Danio rerio: one gene and its partner. The protein of the gene in region 2 purifies or fractionates together with the protein of the main gene of each other region. This does not show direct contact. Links are inferred from orthologs where the notes say so. Each region holds a gene or a part of one and is shown on either strand. Other genes may lie near its edges.

Region 1 (5,351 bases), on a different chromosome or scaffold from region 2:
GCAAAGCGATGCCAGCAGCCAGAAGGAAACGAGGTAAGTTCTAGCACAACTGAAATGTTTTTGTTGCTAAAGCAGTGCATCATTCTTGCTTGCGTAATTGGTTTATTTTAAGGCTCATGAATAATTAACACACTTTTCTTCGTCCTCTCAGGTAAACTGGGTCCAGTGTGACGGCAGCTGTAACCAGTGGTTCCACCAGGTCTGTGTGGGAGTGTCTGCTGAGCAGGCCGAAAACGAGGACTACATCTGCGTCAGCTGCGCAATAAACGATTTGTCAGAATAAGGACCAAAATCATGTTTTTTTCGAAGGATAGTCAAAAAGGCTCCCCGTTTTGCACATAAGTTACAGCACCAAGAATGCACCAGATATCATCCTCTTACTGAATCCCGCCCTCCTCGCTCCCTTGGTGCTACTGCCTTCTTGATAGGACTGTTAACAAGAAAAAAATCTGTATGATTCTTCAGCTTTTTGTTTTGTATTTTTGAAGATTTCCTTCTATAACACTTTTCTTTTCCTTCTCTAGAGAACGTGATGCATAGATGTACCTCAGGGGTTTCCATCCCATAAATGCAAAACAAAGGGGAACTTCGGCATCCCCAAAATGTATTTTTGTTCATATTTATTATTTTATTTCTTTCCCCAATCGCCTTGAGAATTTCTTAACATGAATTTGTCGATCTGGGCTATTTACACCAAATAATATTAATTGGACTAATCAAAATGGTCTAAAATTATTTTTGGAACCCACTGTTTTGGTACATGTGTCTAATAATATAAAATATTATTTATTTATCCCAGCAATAACGCGGCTGGTTACCCTGATTTTTCAGTAGCTTGAGATCTGCTCTGATCTGTTGCTTGATGCATTAGAAGTGTTTGTACAGAATCCTAATGTAGGTTGTCAGACAAAAAGAGATGTAGCAGGCAGAAGAAAAAGCTGTGTGAAAATATACTTTGTGATGTATACTGTGGCTTTCTTTAAAACAGATCTTTTCCGATGTTAATTCAACTGTGGAATAAAATGGTTTGTTCTCACCTACAAACACTGATTCACTTCTGGTGTCATTTGTGTGCAACTGAATAAGTGGAAAAGCATAAACACGAGTATTGAGCGTTAGATGGCGACAAAGTGGGGCACATAAAGGCAGTTGAAAGTAGCTGTTCAGCCTCCTTTCCTCTGGATGGAGCCATTATGGTTATGAAAGCGCCAATGATTCTCGAATGGCAACATTTCATCGTTTCATAGTCCCTCCCTGAACGTGCATTGGCGCGCTGTGCATCCTTCCGTCGGCTCCCCGGTCATCTCTCCGTTAGCCTCGGCAAGACTGGCGAAAATATGGCGGGTATGAGCGCGTCGGGCCCCGGCCCGGTTTCGAGTCTCGACCAGGTGGACAAAGGATTGAAGGAGACTCTGATAGACGCGCTGAACGCCATTCTGTCCCCGGTGCAAGAAGTGCGAGCGGCGGCGGAGGAGCGCATTAAAGTGCTGGAAGTGACGGAGGGTAAGAACTGACATGAGATGCAGCCACAACATGCATGACACCATGTGAAGAGCACAACTATTTAACACACAGACCTTGCTGGACTTTGTTTCACAGTTCAAATGCTGATTTTGTTGTGTGTTTTGGCCGTGGTTATAATTCATGTACTTACGATGCATTGTTAAAAATATTGAATGGAATTATGAGGCGAAGTGTGCAGCCGATTTCAACATGTTCCCGCATTTGTAACTTGATGGTTGTTCAGTCATAAGGTAAATAATACGAGTGTGAAGTTTAGCTGTGCTCTTCTACATCAAGTTAGTTTCACTTTTGCACTCGTTTTCCTAACTTTATGGTTATAAAAACGCCTTTCTAAATGCAATTTCCAAGTTATTGTTCCCGCCCAACTCACTCTGTTTCCTCATGTTTATGTTGCTCCAAAACTATATCACTTTTACATATATTTTATTGGTCTATTTTCAGTCTGACAGCCTCAAAAAACATTTTATTGTAAAGAAATATCCATACAATTAAAGTGAATGGTGATTCATTTTTGTGTTTCACGAAAGAATATGGTCAGTGGTTAGATTTTGGATAAACTACCCCTTAAATGTTCTGTTTTATTAATATTTTATCATAGCAGACCTCTTCATCCTTTTATTTCGCTTTCTAATTACAATGCCAAAACACAGCTGACCACTTGAGGATTATTCTAGTGTCCATGTTAATATTAAGTCCAAATACCCACTATCATGATGGTTACATCACCCAGTATTTTTAAAGTTGCTTTATTGCTTGGAGTTTTGTGGCTGTTTCATCATCTTTATTTGGGGAGAAAGAGCAGAATCCTCTTTATTTTCACTGATTGGGAATCTGTAGCGTTGACTAAAGGAATAAAATGTATAAATATAGAGATCAGTAATGGAAAAAGGTGAATGCATTAATAATGATAAGGATGTGTTTTGTATGTTGACTTTAAGTGAGAAACATGTCTCTTTAGTACTCATGCTAAAGACAGTGCTGTTCAATATGTTTGGAGGAATGAGCCATTTTTTGTGGATAAAAGACAGTCAAAATAGCTAAACATTTATTTGAAACCTTTTGTTTTATAACAGGTATATACAAAAAACCTTCACTATTACTTTTGAACAATTAAGTACATTCTTAATAAAAATAACAAATAGACCCCAAATCTTTGCGAAGTGTGTCTTTGGACCGCAAATCTAATTGCTTAAAGTAAAGTGATTTGAAAAATAGATTATTTGTATGCAATTTCTATTAATAAAAGTGTTAATTTCTTCTTAAAATGACACCGTCTCCAAACTTTTGAACAGTCGTGTATCTATGGACTGTACACTGTATGCTTTGTTTAGGAAAAAAGCACATAATTGCAGAATTACCCTTGAAAGTCAGTTGTTCAGTGGGTTGTGGCCTCTCTCATGGATCTGCTGTGTGTTTGGTGTCAGCAGTAACATTGTCTGTTGGCTACTAGCCTCTTATTGAACTAAATCCATGGATGATGAAATATGATGATAGCAGTGTTGTGTGACTTGCATCTAATGCATTTTAGTTCACACCAAAATGCAAATTTTATTGTGATTTACAGTCCAACAGTTGCAGTTGACTTTAGTTAAAGAACATTTTTAGATAAAACCGTGGCCCTTAGTTATTCATATATTGTTAGTCAAATCTACCAGGACTTTTTGATGGTCAAAAACATATAGAGCTGTAACAAAATTTTCTTAAGCTAAATTCATTAGCTCATGCACAATCTAATCCTTTAGCTTTGTTAGAAGTCAATATCTCACTAGAATTGATTTTGTTTTGCCTGTATGTTTTTTTTTTTTACTTTTTTCTTTTTACTTAGTTCCACTGATTAGGGTTTTACATTTATTAAGCATCAAGCACTGAGAACATTTCCAGCTAAAAATCTTTTTAATCTTTATATGTGGGTAAACTATCAACTTTCTGTTGATCAGCATAGAGCTTGTAAATTACTTTTTTTTTATTTTTTTTACTTTGTTTTGTTTTGCTAATTGTTATTTTTGGTCTCACGCAGGAAGTGACCTAATATTTTTGCTCCTGTTTTTGTAGAGTTTGGAGTTCACCTTGCAGAGCTCACAGTCGACCCACACGGAGCACTCGCTATTCGCCAAGTAAGACTTGATATCTGCATTTAACAGCATTTATTAAAGTCCGCATGAACCGGAAGTTGACTAAATTTCAGTTTGATGATGTAGTTCCAACTGAAAAGAGATGATTAGTAGGGGTGGAGCTTTCTATTTTCTTATCATTCTCTCATAGCAAACTATCAGTAAGGTGGGCATGGTCAGGAACATTTTGTCTGAAGCATAGATTATAAAAGATATGGACGTAGTGTCCGTGACGTCACCCATAGGTTTCTGAAGAGCGCAAATGAAGTTACAAGTCAAGTGGGCGTGGCCAACTGGCACCATCACTCCAACTAGACGAGACAACATCAGAGGAAATGCAGAGGAGAAAAGTGGTCAGTCGCCACCAGACCTGAGATCCCTCTCTCATACCCACAAATTCCTCTGAATGGAGGAGGACATCATTAAAGCATATAAACTATTAGCCCAAGCTGCGATGACGGCCCTTTCCCACCTCCACCTCAAAATCTTTTGAAAGTTGGGCGAACTTGTAACTTTTGCTTTTTGTCGCTATTAATACACGCACTGCGGGCTACACATAGAACAACTTTATTCTCTCCAACACCAGTGCGTACACGGGCAGAGGCTACATCGTTAATTATACACACACACACATCAGGACCATACCATTACATAAACTGCATGGGGGGTAAATCTGGACTAAACCATTCAATGCTTATACTACACTTCACATATTTCGCAGAGCTAAAAACAAGACAATATCTTCCATCGTGGCTAGTGTGACGCAGATGCTAAATCTCGCTTTTATGCATGCGCGACATCGTAAATTGTTTGACAAGTGTAAACGCATGAATTGGATATGGCTCACAATTAAAACAACGTATTAACAGACAGCCAAACAAATCGGATATTTGCAAAAAATCGGAATTGGGCATCAAGACCCGACAGTGTACATGGTGCCTTTGTCTGGCTTTTCTTTGGGAGAAACGCTTAATACTTCATTACCTGCGACTCGTTTGTGTTTTGAACACATGTGCTTGGTTGTATACTATATCAATAAAGCGTTCAGTGTTTAAAAAAAAACAGTTTCAATGCATTGACCCACTAAGCATTGTTCTTGACGTTTTTCTACAGGGCGAATGTAAATGCCAGACTATTTATGAAATCTAGGCATTAAACTGTATGACAATGTTTAAGATGATAAACAGCCTACAGCTAATCAATCTGTCAGATTCTGAGGTGCATTGCAGTTCTAAAGAAAATGATAGAAATTATAATTTAAATAAAATAATGTGTATGTATATATATATATATATATATATATATATATATATATATATATATATATATATATATATATATATATATATATATATATATATAGTAAGAATTCCACTCACTTGGGAAATGGATGCCACGTGAAAGGTTTGTGAGCACAATAAAGTGCCCATAGTATGCCATATTAACTGATAATTGTTGGAAATAATTCCAAAAAGCAGCTGACTGTGTAAAGCCACATAAAACAAAACAAAAATACGATGTATATGCAGAGTTCAGCGGCTAATCAGCTGGAATCAGCTGTGGTGAAGTGACGACGATAAGCAAGACCTAGCTGTCACTCAAGTGGCCCCCTTAATTATGCAGTCTTAATATAATATAATATAAACTAAATGGATGAGTTATTAAAAAACCCTCCTCACAGTTGTCATGAAGTGTAATATTAGCTAGATACACCAA
Region 2 (6,800 bases):
GATTTTGTGGCCTGAGGTAACATCCCTCCTTTGAATAATGACAGAAACTGAAGGACCCTTTAGTACAGCTTTGTCCAAAACATTTGCAACTGAGGCAGCTGGGTAAAGGAACCATAGGTATTGGCATAAATGTCTTGTTACTTGGCAGGAAACTTGCAAGGCATGTCAGTCAGCAAAATGCTAATCTAACTGAGAACCTTTGAAAGTGATGTGCTGAACTTTTTGTGGTCACAAGAACCTTTTGGAATATGGAGAATGGCAGCTCAGTGTTTGGCAGTTTTAGACCAAAGACTTTTTGAAGGTCCTTGCACAAATTATAAGACTAAAATGTAGTCAAAATGAAAAATAAAAAAACGAATCAGTCTGGCATTTGGCATCCAGCTACTCTGCAGGCAAGGCTGAACCAGGTTGCAGCACTCTGTGGAGAAAGATGGGAGAGTTCTTATCTAAGATCATTACCTAAATCTATTTGCTTTGATAATCCTTATCCAAACAATAAGATTTGATGGTCCAAAACCCTTGAAAAAGTACTGAAATATTACAGCGTGTGAATTAGATTAACAGTTGGCTTAATGTGCTGTGGTGAATGGCAAGCTCACCATTTGACAATCCAAATTTTGACTACAGCCATGCATGGGTCATGTCCAGGTCAATGTTTTCTGGAGGCTTTCTGCACAGCAGTTCAAATAAAAGGATCTTCAGTGACCAAATGGTTGCAGATTTGCTGTAGTATCCGCCTGTTGATTGATACTCAGAAGGGCTGTACATTTCTTTTCCTGGAAAAAAAGATATTCTTTATTAGTTACAGTAAGAAAGCTTATGCTTTTCAAAATATGGTGTAGCTGCTTGTTAGAATTTAGGTCCTTAACTACAGACTTGAAGGACAATATACCACAGAATCAGGCTGATGTTTTTAGGATGTCACCGCACCCAAAGTCAATAAGCTTGACTTCATAGGTGTCCTTGTTGATTAGCAGGTTGTCTAATTTAATGTCGCGATGGAGGATTCCTCTTTGACAGCACATGTGGGCAGCCTGCACTACCTGCCACATGATGTACCGTGCCACGTCTTCACTGAGGGTTCCTTCATAGTGCTCCAGGAAGTCAAAAAGGTCTTTGCAGGGTAAGGGGTGCTCCAAAACCATGATGTAAGAGTCTGGCAGCTCCTGCCACTCCAGCATCTGGATGATCTGAGGAATCCTTCGTTAGCAAGTATTGTTAGTGCAACTTCTAATGAAAGGGGAGTAGGATGACCAGGCTGTAGAAGATAGAAATTTGTTGTCAGTGATGTTTGAAAATTCTTTTTTTGGCTATAATTAACATATCTTGAACTAAAAATCAAGAGAACTACAATGCTGAGATAATCCATATTGTTCCTCTTCAAAACAACCTTCAATGCCACCTGATTAACAAAACACAACAATTGTAATGTTGGTGAATTAGTCACATTTATTAAACGTTTTCAATGTAACGTGACACAATAAAAGGACCTGAACAGGCAGTGAGAGAAACATTTAGCTAAGATGTAGTGAGTAAAAATGTAGTTCCTCAAGACCGTCCATCAAGCAAATCGCTTTGAAGACTGTGCCGTGTCCTCCCTTACCAAGCTTTTGTACAATTTTATAGCAGCCCAAAATGTCACCTACAAAAAGTAAAGTAATTGGAGTTATCATTAGTGAACATATAAAAAGGAATATTTCCATATGTATTAGGAACAACTTTCCTTAGGGTTATTTCACATGTCTCCACAACTCGATTTAGGAAAAAAGGCTTCTATAAAACATTAAGTACCGGTAGATAGCTAACACATATTATGATGTTGGAACATAGCATGAACATTGTTGACAAAATACATATAAAGGTCAATATACCGTTGAAGTCTTGAGCCAGATGTTGAACCTGCTGATCATCAAGGGCAGGCTGCTGGAATTGAAGCTGGACGGGCTGCTGGAGCTGGATGTCTTGCTGGAAATGGAATTGGAGCTGGACGTTCTGCTCAATTTTCTGAAGTTCATGACTCAGAGAACAATCTATTAAAGAATCTTGATCTAAAGAGGGGCACATCGACCAAAACATGCTGTATTACTATTTTAGTACGTACGTGCAAATTGAATTTCATAATGTAACAATTGTATGTATTTACCTTCAGTGTTTCTGTCCTCAAAGGTGACACTTGAGAGGGCAACCTGCTCCTTACCTTTATCTCTCGTTTTATTCAGCGGGCAGAAGATTCATTGCCTGGTTGGGGCAGGATTTTGTCTTGGAAATTGTGCACACATCTCTTTCAAAGGTTACAGATTTCCAGCTTTCTTAAAAATGTCGGTTTTTATTTAAAAAAGAAAACTAGTTAGTTTTGAAACAAGTAAAGAGTGAATAAATGTCTACAGAACTTTCATTTTGGGTGACTTATGCCTTTAATCTATTCGCTCTTCACTCATGATAAAGTAAGAACTAAAGCCGAAGAAAATTGAGTGATATGCTGTAAAAGGTTCGCTCTTCTGCCACTAAATGACGCTGTTGTCCCGCGGCAGCAGCAGGTCACGTGGTGGGGCGGAAGCGTTTATGTGAGCCATGCTGAATCCCGCGCGGGCGCAGCCATTTGCTCTCTTCCTCGATCACTTCAACACCGGTGAGTGCGGAACGACTGCGTTCATCTCATCACACACTCTTTTCACTAACACGTTTTATTTTCAGCGCCGACTAAACACATCTGAAAGCTTTTCTGCAGTGCCCAGGCGCTAGTAAGTCAGTCTGATCGTTTTATTGGCCGCAGATGTGCAGTTTTGAGTGTTTCATCATGGCTCATCTCTGTCGTAGCGCCATCCCGAGTTGTTGGTAGCGCGCGATCTTGGAGCCGCGGAAACAACACTTACTTCGTTTTAAGTTCTGTCAACTAAACTAATTTCTGGATTTCTAAAAACTACTAAATTCGCTATTTGTTGATTTTCATGTTGACGGCCTGTTTGAGGCCTTCGGGCGGCCGCTGTATTGTGAAGTTTAGGCTTCAGCGGCAGCGGCCTCGTGTGTTCGCGCGCATCCCCTTATTTAGATCTGCGTGTTGTTCAATGAGCATTACATTTGTTTGTTTTAAGTTCTAAAAGCGGTTTTGTTTTTAATATTGGCTCGAAAAGGTTTATTTGAGTAATCTTGTGGTCCCGTGGCCTTTATTTGGAATTGGTGCGGCCTTTGTGTGATGTGACTAACCGTCCCGCCATCTCTCCCGCAGAGTGACTGCAGCACAAAGACCAACACACACTCACAGTACAGCGATGGCGGAGAACGAGCCACAAGTTCAGTTTAAGGTAACTTACACTTTCACTTTAAAGGCACGACAGTCTGTGGTAACAAATTAAAGCCCCAGTTTGAGTGTTTACATGTTCATCACATTAAGTTTCTAAACTGTTTCGTAACGTTAGTGAATTCGCAGACTCCTTGCTGATAACGAGTGCATTGAAGCGCGAGAACCCACTTGATGCTGAATTTAAGGATATTTTTTACTACATACTATACTACATATAATTGTTTATTATTACTAATAAACTGTAGTTATTTAGTAAATGATGTTAAATTTGTGTAATTGTCTTTAACCAGTTTGTTTTATATTTTGTTATTTTAGTTTCTGTATTATAGTCTATTACAACAATCTGTACAACATTGCTTTATATAATTTAATATTGTCAAGACTTACCAGGGCAGAATCTTCTAATTTTGACCCTTTAGCAATATTATTATAGTTGGATAATATTGAAACTTTTGTTGACACAAATTACCATTGCTATTGTAGTTATTGCCATTATTCCTAATGGTATAGTTTTAAATTAGATGTTTCTCATAGTTTTTAACCTCCACAAACTGCCCGATAGTTTTTCTTGCCTCATACTTGCATTCTAGTGTTTTCTATTGATTCCTAAACCCAGGATTGATTTCCTTTAAAATTAATTTGCCCTGTTGAAATGTAGATGTAATATGACATAAAATGAAGCTTTATTGATAGTAGTGGCTGTATATTAAATTTTAAAAACAATTAGACCTTTAGATCTTAATTTATTACATTTGTATAATGTTACCCCATTGACCATCACTGTTTTACATGTGGGAGATGTATTTTATAGGATATAAAAAAAAATCCATATCTTAATTTCTTTTCAAGCTGTAAAAGGGTTATACAGTGCTAAGAATTTTCTACTGGCCCAATCAAGCCAGTAGTTAGGATTTTTACTTGCCCTGCCAAAATTTTCACTGGCCCCATAAAAAAAAGTTAATAGCTCATTTTTAGCCACAAATTTTAAATGTCAAAAGCAAAACATTGCTTCATCATAACTTTTCTTTAAATACAACTGACAGTTAAAAGAAATACAATTGTGATGTATTTAAATTTGAGGGGGGAGATGGATGGATAGATGTATATATTTCCGCCTATCTATCTATCTTTTAATTTTAATGCCCACATTATCACCAAATATAAATCAGAGAGGTAAGACTTTCTCATAGCTTCATTTTAGTTGTCATGTTTTGTAAAATTCTATTTATTGAATTAATGTTTTTTAAAAACCTGTTGGAAGCAGATCAATTTTGAGCTTTCTTTTGAGGTGTCAGTGCAGAAATAAACAAAACATTTAACAATAGGCCTATTGCAAAAAATTGTACAGTTAAAATGAAGAAAATGATCAGATGTAATTTGTCAGCTTTTCTATTGAATAAACGGCTCATTAATATTTTGGCATGCTTTCACTTTCGTATTTGATATCAAATGCACATTTGCCGGTAGGAATGATATCCCCACTTGTATTTCTCTCTTCGTTATAAGGGTGTCACAATTTCTATTTTAATTGGATTGAAATTCATGCTCCATTTCGATTATCGAATCAAAAAATGGAATCGTCGATGTTGCCAAGCCCCAAAAAAAAGAAACACTCTTGTTGAACTGCAGATGCAGGAGACCCGTCGACAGAACTTAAACCCTCTCCTCTTTCAATGAAGTAGCCGGTGTGGAAGTATTTTGGATTTCCAGTAAGTTATGTTGTCAACGTTCGTGTTGTCGGAAAAAAAGACTCTTTGCAAGCTCTGCTATGTATTAGGGTTGGGCCGATAGACAACACCGGCATCGTGATCCTCCACCCTCCAATCCAGTCAGGCCCTTAACATTAATAAGTCTTGTTTTTTAAGGCCATACTCACACTAGGTACAGTTGCCTCGAACCGTGCCAAAGCACGCTTGTCCCCTCTCCCGTCTCCCCCGATGGCCCGCACTCACACCACAATCAGGCCTCGGCAGGCTTGCGTCATCGCTGCTGTGCTATTCAGTGAGAAGCGCTCTCACTCAGCAGCACAGTGGAGATTTCTCTAGTTATATTGTTTCAGTCGTTTGATATGCAGTCAAATTTCGCCAAACAGTCATTAGGGATGCGGTGACCAGAGTCAAATATTTTGCCAAACAGATCCGCCACTTTTGGCGCTCATAATCATAAAGCTCTTGTGCTGCAGGAATGAGGAGGTCTGCTGAAGGAGCGTAGCTGTGGTGCAGTGAGGGGTTTATGTCTTTAATAACCTACGGCAGTTTGTGTTCACTGAACAGTAAGAATGATTAATAAATTCATATAAAAGTTACTTAATAGACGTCTCGCTTTCAGTTTCGGGCTTTGGCGCATTTTGCACTCATACTACAAGCGTACCGCGCCAAAGCCCAAGTGAACTGCGCTCAGGCCTACCTCTTCCAACCAGGCCAGGGCCGGCCAAGTGAACCGTGGTTGAGCCCGATTCAGCGCACTCACACTTCTCAAATGATCCGTGAAATGGGCCTGGGCACGGTACGGATGGCATAGTGTGAGTAGGCCCTGAATGGCATTTTATAATGATCCACATCCACACAGACGTCTTGCATTTCTGAGCAGCCCTCCTTCCTCACTACCGCTGAAAACGCACATCACGTGACCACATACACACAGGCAGGCACACACATTGTCATCTGCTCAAGACAGCAGTCCAGGCAGTCAGCGGGTCAGTAGACTGCTTCAATCTTTCACTTTTACACTTGTACTTGGTAATTTTAGCGAACGCCTTAGATACTGTTGGCTTGGTCCTGTTGGTTGTGGACCTTTTTTTACTGATGCCATTATAAGGACACAGATCACTGCCTATTCACGAGTCTCGCGGAAAGTGATTTCCGGATGGCAATTATGTTTGTAACTTATTTTTATTCATTTACTGTATTATTCATTTATGATTATTTAATTGTTCTTTTTTAAATCGAATCGAACCGTGACTTTAGAATCGAAAATGTAATCGAATCAGGGATTTGGAGGATTGTGACACCCTTACTTCGTAAAGCCATATATGTGGCTATTACACAACCATAAAACACGGATTTAGCCTGATTTGTTAGTTTATTGGATCTTTTGGTTAATACAATTGATCCACTCCAGAGTTGTTCAATTAAGCCGAGAACACCTCATTCAGGCAGTCTCGGACCAATTGTTTCGGGGCAGATCAGGACCCGATTACTAGTTTTACAAATGCCAAACAAACCACGCTTACTGGGCAAACAAGATCGGTTTCGTAAAAAATGTCAAGGTGTGAAAAGCACCCTATTTGGGCACGATTGACAAACATTCACATCCAAAATAAAACTTTAGCAACACGGCAGCACCCTGATCGGGCCAGTAACAATTGTGTACTCTCCTGAGTGTCTCGCATGCTGGGCCTGGGCCATCGGGCAGTCCTTATTGTCGAGCCCTGATATACATACGTAAGATAATTTAAGTGCAAACTCAAATTGGGTTGACAATTTGACAATTGGGATAG

Evidence for each region.
Region 1: the proteins of ran (region 2) and ipo9 purify together in Homo sapiens (affinity purification with mass spectrometry; 3 studies listed by BioGRID and IntAct, with this or other methods). This does not show direct contact. The link is inferred for Danio rerio from reciprocal best matches to the Homo sapiens genes RAN and IPO9.

Annotation. Positions count from the first base shown.
Region 1 is NC_133186.1:26,925,659-26,931,009, forward strand, and holds the start of ipo9 (importin-9), read left to right. Parts: upstream 1-1,270; 5' UTR 1,271-1,337; coding exon 1,338-1,503; intron 1,504-3,576; coding exon 3,577-3,638; intron 3,639-5,351. Other genes in the region: kdm5ba (lysine (K)-specific demethylase 5Ba), read left to right, coding at 1-33, 152-283. UniProt on the Homo sapiens protein: Nuclear transport receptor that mediates nuclear import of proteins, such as histones, proteasome and actin. Serves as receptor for nuclear localization signals (NLS) in cargo substrates.
Region 2 is NC_133189.1:25,977,957-25,984,756, forward strand, and holds the start of ran (GTP-binding nuclear protein Ran), read left to right. Parts: upstream 1-2,497; 5' UTR 2,498-2,629; exon of another isoform or gene 2,630-3,226; 5' UTR 3,227-3,269; coding exon 3,270-3,302; intron 3,303-6,800. UniProt on the Homo sapiens protein: GTPase involved in nucleocytoplasmic transport, participating both to the import and the export from the nucleus of proteins and RNAs. Switches between a cytoplasmic GDP- and a nuclear GTP-bound state by nucleotide exchange and GTP hydrolysis.